Caenorhabditis elegans: one gene and its partners. The protein of the gene in region 1 purifies or fractionates together with the protein of each later gene. This does not show direct contact. Each region holds a gene or a part of one and is shown on either strand. Other genes may lie near its edges.

Region 1 (3,737 bases):
CGGCAGACTTTTCAACTGATTTTGCATGGTTAAGAACGTGCAGACGTCACATTTTTTGGGGGCGAAAATTCCCGCATTTCTTGTAGATCAAACCGTAATGGGGCAGCCTGGCACCACGAAAATTATTTTTTCAGCACAAAAGATTTTAACTTGACTTCAAAAGGTTTTAACAAATCATTACAGTAAAAAACACTTGAAGTAGGCTCCGCCTATATCTTGGCTTTCAAAAAAAATTTTTATTTTTATTCGCATTTTCTTCTCACTTAATTTCAGTTCTCTTGAAGTTTTCAAAATAATTATTTTTTTAATTAATATAATAATTTATGCCTGAAATTATTTACCTATTTTTTTGAGGAGTTGTCGAACTTTGAAATGGTTTTAAAAAACATTGCAGAGCGGAGCAAATTAGGAGCAAATTTTTATAAACTTCAATTTTTAGTAATGAGAAACAATTTTTAAGGGTGGACTACCTCAGGTTTGGATGACAAATTTGGCAAATAAGCAAATTGCCGGTTTTCCAATTTGCCGGAAATTTTAATTTTCGGTAAATTGCCGATTTGCCGTTTGCCGAAAATCGATTTGCCGGAAGTTTTTAGAGGAATTTTTTATGAGACGGAAACCCTTAAAACTGTGCCTTTTTGGAAAATTTTTCCCTTTTTCTTTAGATATTTTCATAGAATTTACTTACTTTGCGTGCAATTTTGTCGATTAAAATTGAAATTCTGAAATTTTCAAATTTTCGTCATTTGCCATTTTTCCGTCAAATTCGGCAAGATTTGTGTGTTTCACTTTCGGCAATTTTAGCCGATTTGCCGCAAATTTTCAATTCCTCCAGTTTGCCAATTTGCCGGAAATTTTCAATTCCGGCAATTTGCCGCATTGCCGGAAATTTTCAATTCCGGCAATTTTCCGATTCGCCGGAAATTTTCAATTCCGGCAATTTTCCGATTTGCCGGAAAAAATCATTTGCCGCCCGCGATTTTTTTTTGAATTCCCGCGTAAATAAAAAACCTAGTTTTGGTATTGCTGTGCTCTCCAACTATATTAATTAGTTTTTTTTATTCCGGCAAATCGGCCATTTGCCGGATTGCCGGTTTGTCGATTAGCCGGAAAATTTCAATAATTTTTTTTCCAAAAAAAAAATTCCTTAGGAAATTGAAATTTTGTTAATTTTCTTTTTTCATTTTTTTACCCAAATTCCCTAACCTAAATATTCCCGATCAAAGTGCATACAAAAAAACGGATCAATAATTCTGATCCAGTGGTCCAGTCACACCAAAACGTTTGACCGAGTAAATACACTGCTGCTGCAGTAATGTTTTTTCTTCTTATTATTACTGCGTCTCTACGTGACTTGGGTCACTCTCCGATTTTTTAGGTGTCTTTTTGTTTCGTCCCATTTTTATCAGTTCACGTTTATTCCACGTGTCACATAAATTGAAGGTTTAATCCTCTTAATTTCAATTTTTGGTCGCTGGAATTTTGCGATAGTGAAACATTTTAAGCTTTCATTTTCCCCATTTTACTTTGAGTTTTCTGAAAAGTGTCAAAGTGTCCCATTTCGGTGTGATCTACCAAAAATGCAGGAATTTAGACGCAGACTTCTCAACAAATTTCGTATGGTTAAGAGTGTGCTGACGTCACATTTTTCTCTGCAACAAAGTCCCGCATTTTTTGTAGATCACACCAAAATGGGACTGTTTGACGGCACGTGTAAATTCTGAAAATTACCTGTTTTGCTTGCCCGATTTTTCTCCTTTTTGCGGCCGTGTGCTTTTTGCCAATTTTCAATATTTTCATTTCCAGAGCCCTCTCTACCATCATGGCCTCAGGATTCATCGAAATTGCAAACAAGCAGGGTCTCACCGCGACTCTTCTCCCGTTCGGTGCCACGTTGGCAAAATTAACATTTCCGGACAAAAACGGAAAGAATCAGGATTTGGTGTTAGGATTTGACACTATTGATGGTAAGATTTTTGTCTAAATCTAAGCCTTAGTCTATGCCTATGCCTAAGTCTGAGCCTAAGCCTAGTCCTAAGCCTAAGCAAAAACCTTCTTTTCAGAATTCGAAAAAGACGCCGCCTCTATTGGAAAGACTGTCGGAAGAGTCGCGAATCGAATCAAAAACTCGACATTACACTTTGACGGGAAACAGTACACAATGACGCCCAACAACGGGCCGCATTATCTTCACGGCGGGCCCAATGGACTGGGATATGTAAGATATTGAGCCTGAAATTATTTCCAGGATTTAATTCAATTTCAGAGAAAATGGGAAGTAGTCCGCCACGCTCCAGAGTCGGTTTCCTTTAGCGTTCGGGCCAATGAGCAGGATGACGGGCTTCCTGGCGATGCGAAAATTGATGTGAGTTTTTTAAGCGCCTACACTTGGTGTCAGAGTGTCTCATTTAGGCTTGATCTACGTAGATCTACAAAAAATGCGGCAGAGTTCTCAACTGATTCCGAATGGTTAAGAACGTGCTGACGTCACATTTGTTTGGGCAAAAAATTCCCGCATTTTTTGTAGATCAAACCGTCTAAACAATTTTCCAGGTAACCTACACTGTAAATGACCGTAACCAGCTCATCATCGAGCACCACGCGACATGCGACACCCCGGGCCTGCTCGCTCTCACCAATCACGCCTACTGGAACCTAGACGGCTCGGATACCGTCGCCGAGCACTTTCTGGAGATGGAAGCCGACGAGTTCGTGGAGGTGGACGATACGTTCTGCCCAACTGGAGCCATCCGATCCGTCACCGACACCGGATTCGATTTTCGGAGTGGGAAGCAGCTGAAAGAGTCGGGGAAGGACGCGGAGGAGTTGCTGGATTTGGATAATGATTTAGTGATCACTAAGAAGACCCCGCCATCAACTCCATCGACTTACTTGAGATTTTGGAGCGAAAAGTCTGGAATTGAACTTTCCATCACAACTTCTTACCCGGTTATTCATCTCTATGCGTCGAAATTTTTGGATTGTAAAGGCAAAAAGGGGGAGCATTACAAGGCCAACAAGGCGTTGGCAATCGAGCCACAATTCCACTCGGCAGCTCCAAATTTTGTAAGTCATCTTGTTCTTGTAAAGTGTTTTAAAACAAATATCTGAATTTAGGATCACTTCCCCGACGTCTCTCTTCGCCCGGGAGACCACTACTGTCAGGAGATTGTCTACACATTTTCTCATGTTAATTGATCAATTTGTAAATTAATACTGTATTTATGAATATTTTCTGCTTTATTTCTTTTCCTCTGCCGAAGCCGAAGCCTAAGCCTAAGCCTAAAAATTAGCCTAAGTTTAGGCCTAATTAGGCCCACGCTAAAGACTAGACCTTAGCCTAAGACTAGATAAGCCTAGTTTTTATTACTTTCATAGTTTCTGCGTTGCTCTATGTAGCTGTGGATGTTGACTTCTAACACCTGGTGTTGTTTTGATATTAAATAATAATTTTTGGCAATACCTTTCTAGCCTATAATTACATTTCTCCTATAGCCTAGAAAAATTGTTTCAAAACGTTTACGCTTTTTGGCACATGGAACCCCTGCAAACAATTTCTCGAGTCTATTGGACAATATTCTTTTCTATTTGTCTGTGTCTTCACTCTTCAATGTTCCTTTTGATCTACTACCGCACAAGTCGAACCATCAGAAACTTACGGTGGTTTTTATATCCTTCGAACACGGCCTCTTTCGTACTTGCTACAGTTGCTTTTATATTGCAGGTTAGGTAAGTTT
Region 2 (3,907 bases), 1.6 Mb from region 1:
ATATCATGATCGAGCTAGAGAGACCCTAAAATGTTTGACAATTTTTTACAGTTTTTTTTACAAATAAACTCACAATTGACCCCATAACTATCAATGAGCCTTCCGCACCTTTCCAACTAAAATACGTTTCCGTTATTGAATTTTCAAGTTTCGGCCAGAAAAACGGGCCCATGTAATAGAGGTCTTCAAGATTTGTTTGATTTTTAATTACTTTTAGATAATTTTCTCTGAAAGTCATGATAATAAGCACCAGAATTTCTGAAATGTTCAGACCTCATGAACCGATCCGTTTCCGCATCAGCCGACAGAATAATACCACCGGTAATCATATAGAGGACGCCGTTGATAAGAGGGACTGTGAAAATGGGAATAATTAGCCATGAGTCAAAGATTTTAAGGTAGCGACTGCTGAAAACAATTTGAAATTGAAAATTTCTTTAACATATTTGAAAATTTGGGAGTTTTTTTTTTTTATTTGAAAAATATTACTAACTTTGTGACGCTGAAAAATCGATAAATGAAATGAAGAGCTAGAATTGACATGGACGTTCCAAAAAAGCCGACGAAAAGCACTGAAAAACTATTAAGATTTTCAGAAAACTGGGGGTACCTACGATCCATTAAACATGACATGGTTGCTGGGAAAATAGACTCCTTCCAATTAACGATCAAAAAGAATGCAGACTTTTTGGTGAAGAGATCCTGTGGAAATAATTTTATCTAAGTTAGAGAAATATGGGAGCAACCGACATTCCACGGGTTGGTTTTTTAAACTTAAATCTTGAAACCCGTGAGTTGTCGGCTGCGGCAGATCCCACAACTTACAGGTTTTTCTGCAAAGTATAGAATTGCGTAGGAGAACTCGAAAAGGTTAATATAAAGCATCAAAAACTTATATGAGCCCAATGATTTTGGGGATTTTTTCAGAATTAAAACAATCAAAAGGAAATTAATAAGAACTGCGCAGACCGCTGACAAGTTTAGGATTAAGGTGCTGTTAAGATGCATATTTTGAAACAAAACTTCCTTCAACCGATGTTTGGGAGAGTAAATCGTATCATGTGGCAACTCTTGTGATTAGAAACACCAAGTAGTACCATTTTAATTTCCGTGTATGCCTATGAATGCTGTCTAGTGCGTAGGCATAAAATAACAGAAAAAACGTAATAAAGAATGAGAAAAAAAAACCTTAATTTCTGTCCATTTTTGGGAAAACTTCCAAATTTGTATTCCCGAAAAAAAAAAATATTTTCCGTCTAAATTTTTTTGAAGAAATAGGTTTTTTTTTAATTAATAAGGGAAAAGCTTGGAAAATTGACAATTGGAATTTAAGTAGTTGAAATTTTTAAAAGTAGATTTATGTTCAATGTGAAGTAGGTGTCATCGCACAATGAATTGAATTTTTGAATTGAATTCTTTTCATTGAATTCCTTGCGAAATTTCACGCCGACACAACAACAAACAACAAACAAACTCGATTCCTCCCCTCCGAAACCAAACTCCTGTGTAACATACCAGCTGTTCACTTTACCTTGAACTTTATTTTTCTCTCCGAAGCATCTACCACATCAATTGATCGTGTAATTATGAGCTTTTCGCTCATAAATTCTACATTTACCGAGGCTCAATTTGGTATTAAACTGCTATCAGATCTAACTTCCGACCAGCTCACACCATGCGTCTTCTCCCCGGTGTCTATTCTATTATCGTTGGCTCTGGTGCATCTTGGAGCTAAGGGACATACCAGACATGACATCCGAAACTCTGTGGTGAATGGGAGCACCGATGAGCAGTTTATCGAGCATTTCAGTTTTATTAATAAACTTTTGAATAGTTCTGTGAACGATGTGGAGACTTTGATTGCCAACAGACTATTTGTTTCGTGAGTTTTTTTTCTGTAGTGGAAATATTTGTTGTAGTACGTTTAAGATTTAAAAAAGTATTTGAGCATATTCCTGGTCTATCAATCATTTCGGGTTTTCGAAAAAAAAAATCAAAACTTAAAAATAGAGTTTTCTGACGGAAAAATTAACTTTTTCTCAAATCTTTTTTGGTAGTTGTGTTGCAAATTTTCAGATTATCCAATTTTTAGGCCAGAACAAGCAATTCGAAAAGCTTTTACCGATGAGCTCCGCGAGCATTACAACGCTGAAACGGCAACAATCGACTTCAAAAAGTCTCAGGAAGCCGCAAAAATAATGAACCAGTTTATATCGGAGAGTACCAAAGGAAAGATACCTGATATGATTAAGCCGGACAATTTGAAAGGTGAGATTTGAGTGTAGGAACTTGAATGCCTGCTGGGGCATCCAGGTGCCTAGGCTTAGGCTCAAGCTCAGGTTCAGGTTCAGGATCAGGCTCAGGCTCAGGCTCAGGCTCAGGCTCAAAAAAATTTTTTTTGAACTATCAGATAATCGAAAAATCTAAAAACGATAATTTTAGATTTTTTTTTCCGAAACAACTTTTAACAGTTTTAGACGTCGACGCAATTCTCATCAATGCAATTTTCTTCCAAGGCGATTGGCGTCGAAAATTCGGGGAACCCGCGGAATCCAACTTCTCTATTTCTGCTACTGAAAATCGCCTTGTCCCAATGCTCCGCGAGACCAGAGACTACTTTTATAACAAGGATGATGAGTGGCAGGTTTTAGCTGAAAAATGTTCAGCAAAAAACTGAAAACTATCTAATTTCAGGTTATTGGTATCCCATTCAAAGACAAATCCGCATGGTTTGCCATTTTCCTCCCAACGCGAAGATTCGCCTTGGCTGAAAATCTGAAATCCCTGAACGCTGCGAAATTCCATAATCTTATCAACAATGTCTATCAAGAGTACATCTTTTTGACTTTCCCCAAATTTAAGATGGACTATAAGATAAATCTGAAAACCGCCCTCGCCAAGTTCGGGCTCGCGGAGCTGTTCACAGAACAGGCTGATCTTTCTGGAATCGGGCCGGGGCTTCAGCTGGCGTCGGCTACACATCAGGCACTGATTGAGGTGATTTTTTTTAGAAACTTTTATCTTGACAGTGGTATTTAAATCTTCATTTCCAGGTAGATCAAGTCGGAACCCGAGCCGCTGCTGCCACCGAAGCCAAGATCTTCTTCACCTCCGCCAGCAGCGATGAACCTCTTCACATTCGTGTCGATCACCCCTTCCTTTTTGCAATTATCAAAGACAATTCTCCATTGTTCTTGGGAACATACACTTAACTTTTTTATATTCGATGAGAAAATGTGTAATTTGAAATTTTGTAAATTAAAGATTTCCCATAACTTAAATTTCGTAGATAGTTTGATACTTGCAAAGAAGCTGCCGACATTTTCAGGGCTTTGCAACTCATCAATAAACACTTAAGCCTTCGCAGGACGTCGAGAGGTGTTAAACAGGGTTGTGCGGCAACCGGCTAAATTTGTCAAGTTTTCATAATTTGTAGCTCCAGCAATTATTTGCAAAACTTTTAATTTCTACTCATAGGATTTTTGAACCAAAATCTAATTACAATGGTTTTTGCGCATTTTTTGTCACTTTTTGAAAAAAACTACAGCACAATCCTATATTCGAATCCCCGCAATTGTTAAATATTCATAATAGAAATATAAGTAGACTACAAAATTTGAAAAAATTTTTTAATTGACAAATTCTAAGAAAAACCGCAAAAACTGATTGATTATCTTTTTTTGAAGCGATATTTTATAAAATAAAAACTTTGTTTATAAGTTTTACTATGGTGTTCAGGCGCTACTCTCCGCCTTGATTTATTAAATTCTCGAGTCGTTTTCAGACAGAATACCTGTAGAACATCGATCTTCAAAACAATTCACTAATTCGTCAGATTCGCACAGGCAATATGTCTGCAAAAATTGAATAACAAGTCTAACATCATAACGTACGTGAATAATTATTG
Region 3 (4,858 bases), on another chromosome or scaffold:
TCCGATGTGTAACAGGAAAAGTGGAGGAGCTCCAACGCCGCCGCCACCACCACCTCCACCAATTTCATTGATTGCGCCTTCCAAGCCTTCTGGTGTCGGTGCTCTACTGGAATCTCTCAATACGGGATTATCGGCTACTAGTCGTTTGAAGAAAGTCACCCCTGAAATGCAAACTCACAAAAATCCGGTACTTCGTGAGGTAAATGGACAGATGAATCGAAAAACTGAAGAAAGAAAGGTGAGCGAGAACAAGAAACCGGAGAAAATTCACGAATCGAGCATTTTCTGGGATGGAAAGATTTGGAAAGTTGATCATCAAGTTGGTAATAAGAATGCCGTCGTTGAAGTTACGGATAAGAAGGAATCGATTTATATTTACAAGTGTAACGATTCTATTATCAAGGTTAATTTTTATTCGATTATTTTTTCGCAATTTCACACAAAATGGCCGGTTTTTCAAGGCTTTTATATTGAAAATCAGTGTCAAAATATATAAAACCTTTTTAATTTTTTAAATTTAAAAATGTAATTTATTTCAGTTTAAAAAATAAAAACTCGGCCACTTTTATGCTTTTTCTCAGATGTTTTAAGTGGAATAAATTTTATTTTCAGATGAAACAAGTCATTTTTGACACTAATTTTTAAGTTAAACAAATTGTGGCTATAAAAACGTAAAATTTTCGGTTTTCCAGAAAATCGAAAAATTTATCAAATTTTGTTAATGTTGATGGAAAAAAATAAAAAGAAAACATATACATTTTTTTCTGAAAAGAAGAAAATGACCGAAATTTTTAGATATTTTTCGAGAAATTGAAGCTTTTTCGAAATATCTGAAAAACTAGAAATTGAAAAGAAACCAAAAATTCCAATTACGGATTTCCTGTTTTCCATTTCCAAAGAAATTTTTAATGTTTCGAAACTAATATCTTTAAATTCTGGTAATTTTTCTGTTTTTTTTTTAGATAAAATTGATATGTTTTCTTATTAGTTTTTCATCAACATTAACAAAATTTTAGAATATATATTTATGTTTGATTTTCTGAAAATTGTTTTCTTGAAAAAATTCGAAAAAACCGACACCCTTTTCGAAATATCAGAAAAACTAAAAATCAAAAAAATATGACGAACATTTTCTGTAAAACGAATTTTTTTTTCGATTTATTAGAAAATTGAGAAACTGACACCCTTAATTCTAATGGATAAAAAAATTTATCAAAAAAGAAAGTCTAAAAATTAAATTACAGATCAAAGGAAAGGCCAACGCAATTACATTGGACGGATGCCGTAAAACTTCAGTCGTATTTGATGGTCTTGTTGCTCAATGTGAAATCATCAATTGCCAATCAATTCAAATTCAAACTCTCGGAGAACTTCCAACTGTTTCGATTCAAAAAACCGATGGATGTCATATCTATCTGTCACGTGATGCTTTGAATGCTCAAATTGTTGCATCCAAATCCAGTGAGATGAACATCTCCGCGATGTTGGAAGATGGAGACGATGAGTACACGGAAATGGCATTGCCAGAGCAGTTTATGACGAAGATTGTTGGAAAGAAGCTTGTCACTGTCGCATCTGAAATTGTATAATTAGCTTTAAAGTTTTAATGCATTCTCCGAATATCTCCCTACTATCCCTCATCTCTTCCTCCTGCTGGATCTCGTTCTCCTATCAAAAAATAAATTATTTTCTGTGATTTTTCTCGTTTTTTAATTTGTTTTGATTAACGCTGATTATTAATGCTTCAAGATATTGGAATATTTAGGAAAAAGCAAATAATCTGAAGCCACTTTCCGAACATTACAGGTGCAAAATGGCGATGGTAATCCCAGCTCGCAATCAAATGGCTTCACAATTTTTAGAGTTACCCAAAAGGACTTCAAGCTTGATGGTTTGATTTTTAGAAATTTTTTGTTTGGGAAGAAATTTGGCTTTTTCGATTTTTTTTTGTTTGAAAAAAAAAGTATTTTGGAATTTTTCGTTTTCTCTCGATTTTAAAAAAAATCTAGCTTTTTCGAAAAAATAGCTTGAATTATATTTTAGATTTTCCAGTGAATCAAAGAAAAAATTCGCTGAGAAATTGTGAAAAATTATTTTTCAAAAATTGAGAAATTTATGAAAACATTGAAATTTTTGAAAAATAACTAAAAATTTTGCTATTTTTCTTTTTTACAGAAGAAATTTGTTTTATACGAAAAGATGCGCGCCTTTAAAGAGTACAGTAAAGAGTACTGTAAAACTGCTGTAAGAGTACTGTGTACTTTAAAGAGTAATATAGTACTCATCAACATGAAAAAAATTGTAACAATTTTTGAACTCAAATTTTTTTTCCGATTTTTTAATTTTTCGTAATTTCGACAAAATTCGATAAGACAATATAAAATTTAAAAAAATTTTTTTGGAATTTTTCGAAATCATATTTTCAGAAAATCGAAAAAACCGCCACCCTTGTTAGAATTACAAAAAATTGCAATTTTTCGACACAAAAAAATAAATTTCAGGCTCCAACAATGGTTCTTCAAGGACACGGAGGAGAGATTTACACGTCCCAATTCAGTTCGGATGGAAGTTTTCTTGCTAGTGCCGGATATGATCAACAGGTTTTTTGAAATTTGACGTTTTTTACATCAAGAATACGGTACCCAGGTCTCGACACGACTGGTGCTTTGTAAAATGCGAAATGGTGTGTGCCTTTAAAAAGTACTGTAGTTTTCAACTTTTGTTGCTGTGGAGTTTTTTTTAAATAAAAATTAAACTAAGAGCTTTTATTGTTATATTTGACTTTCCTGATAAATAAATATATTTCTTTTCGTAAAAATTATAAAAATTCGATGAGAATTCCGCAGCAACAAAAGTTTGAAACTACAGTACTCTTCAAAGGCGCACACCTTGTCGTGTCGAGACCTGGTACCGTACTTTTGACGTAAAAATCGCTTCCGTGTAGCAATAGAATAGCGTTTCACTGAAATTACACTTATTTTTCATTCAGATCTTCCTGTGGAATGTGTTTGGCGAATGTGAGAATTTTGCAGTTCTCAAAGGGCACAAAGGAGCCATTATGGAAGTGAAATTCAACGCGGATTCGAGGTTTCTTTTCTATTTTTATTTTTCTGATTTTCAGCGTCCAAAATAAATCCCGAGGTTTTATTTTCCGTCAGTTTTCGGTACAATTTTCATGAAAATTTGGAGATTTTTTCGCGTTTTGGACGCGGAATTAAAATAGATTTTATTGAAAAATCCATCCAAATACCCAAAAAAACTTTTCCAAAATTTCAGTCATCTTGTATCTGCTGGAACCGATAAAACCGTTCGTGTCTGGGATATGGAAACCGGTTCGTGTATTCGAAACTTCAAATCTCATACCGATATTGTCAATTCGGTTGATGTGAATCGTCGAGGTCCTCAAATGATTTGCTCAGCGTCGGATGATGGAACTGTCATGGTATAAAGATCTTAGTTGACACGAAAATCGGATTTTTCCAAATAAAAATACATTTAAAAGAAATTGAAAACTTCCAATTTTAAAATTTTTCTCAACTTTTTTTGATACAAAAAATATATATTTTAGCCACAAAAAAACGAAGGATTCTAGAATTTATATTGTGAAAGGAAATTTAAAAATGACTTCTTTTTTTGAAAAATTTGAAGTTTGAAAGACGTTTGAGCAAAAAAATTTCGCAAAATATTTCGTTGATATTTTTTGAGCCATATTCAATAACAGAAATTAGGTGCTTGGAAAGTTTTAGATTTTTCAAAATTTTCAGTAAGAGTTTTGGTAAATTGTCAAAATGCGAAATATGTTGTAACCCTAAGTACAGTTTTCAAATAATAATTAATATTAACATAAAATAGTTCTCGTTAAAAAAATTTTTATCGACTTTAAAAAATTACGATAGGCGACAACTAAGTAATTGCCACTTTTTTAACAGAAATAAAATATTTCTAAATAATTATTGGAAATATTTACAATGTTTTTATGCAATTTAAATCGAGCTTTAATAATAAAAAAAGTGAAATGAAACTGTCAAATTAAATTATTCGAAAATCCTGAAATACACTCTTATAATTGTGCAATTAAAAATCTTAAATACCACTTTTAAAATTCCATAATAAATTTTAAGTTTTTTTTTTCATTGAAACGAATATTTTCAGGTTCACGATATGCGGAGCAAGGAAGCGGCGAAAAAGTTTATCTGCAAATACCAACAGACGGCTGTCACGTTCAACGATGCCGCGGATAATGTTATTTGTGGAGGAATTGACAATCAGATTAAGGTTTTTTTTTTTGAAAATTTTAACACAAGGGTCTTCACAAGAAATTCAAACCCTGAACCCATGAAAATGCGGTTTTTTCATTTAAAAAAAATTTATAAAAGTTGTTTGAATGTAGAAAATAAATTTGGAAGATTTTTGAAAAACTGTGTACTGAATAGCCGCTGAAATTTTTGTGGTGACCGAGTTTAACGAAATAATGACGTCACATTTGAAAGTTCCGAAAAAGTGCAAACATAAAGACTATTGTAGAATTACGACTATAGTCATTACTACAATAACCCTAATAGATTCCATTTGGCTCTTTTCCATTCATTTGCCCTCCAAGACCAATTCTAGTAAAACGAAAGTGGAAAGGAAATGAAAAATCTGTCGCTCAATCCTTTTTCATCCAATTAATACATGGATGACGAATTTCCGGTTATTTAAGAAATATTTTGAAGAAGAAGGTTTCTGGAACTAATTGAGAATTGGTTTTGCAAATTTGTAATAAATTCACTTTTTAAGATTTTTTGAAATTTTAGGAAATTTAGAAATTTTAGAAATTTCTTTAAATTCAAAAGTTTAGAATTCTTAAAATTTTTTA

Evidence for each region.
Region 2: the proteins of Y19D10A.16 (region 1) and srp-1 fractionate together in Caenorhabditis elegans (co-fractionation; one large-scale study listed by BioGRID). This does not show direct contact.
Region 3: the proteins of Y19D10A.16 (region 1) and snrp-40.2 fractionate together in Caenorhabditis elegans (co-fractionation; one large-scale study listed by BioGRID). This does not show direct contact.

The regions. Positions count from the first base shown.
Region 1 is NC_003283.11:2,390,950-2,394,686, forward strand, and holds Y19D10A.16 (Aldose 1-epimerase), read left to right. Parts: upstream 1-1,822; coding exon 1,823-1,967; intron 1,968-2,063; coding exon 2,064-2,218; intron 2,219-2,266; coding exon 2,267-2,365; intron 2,366-2,553; coding exon 2,554-3,066; intron 3,067-3,117; coding exon 3,118-3,198; downstream 3,199-3,737. Other genes in the region: srd-75 (Serpentine Receptor, class D (Delta)), read left to right, coding at 3,536-3,729.
Region 2 is NC_003283.11:751,772-755,678, forward strand, and holds srp-1 (Serpin domain-containing protein), read left to right. Parts: upstream 1-1,511; 5' UTR 1,512-1,586; coding exon 1,587-1,882; intron 1,883-2,092; coding exon 2,093-2,268; intron 2,269-2,477; coding exon 2,478-2,644; intron 2,645-2,694; coding exon 2,695-2,997; intron 2,998-3,053; coding exon 3,054-3,212; 3' UTR 3,213-3,353; downstream 3,354-3,907. Other genes in the region: str-262 (Seven TM Receptor), read right to left, coding at 1-25, 74-227, 274-408, 494-572, 615-702, 826-1,008.
Region 3 is NC_003279.8:4,191,435-4,196,292, forward strand, and holds the start of snrp-40.2 (WD_REPEATS_REGION domain-containing protein), read left to right. Parts: upstream 1-1,806; 5' UTR 1,807-1,813; coding exon 1,814-1,891; intron 1,892-2,501; coding exon 2,502-2,600; intron 2,601-2,989; coding exon 2,990-3,087; intron 3,088-3,276; coding exon 3,277-3,442; intron 3,443-4,152; coding exon 4,153-4,275; intron 4,276-4,858. Other genes in the region: cas-2 (C-CAP/cofactor C-like domain-containing protein), read left to right, coding at 1-403, 1,245-1,589.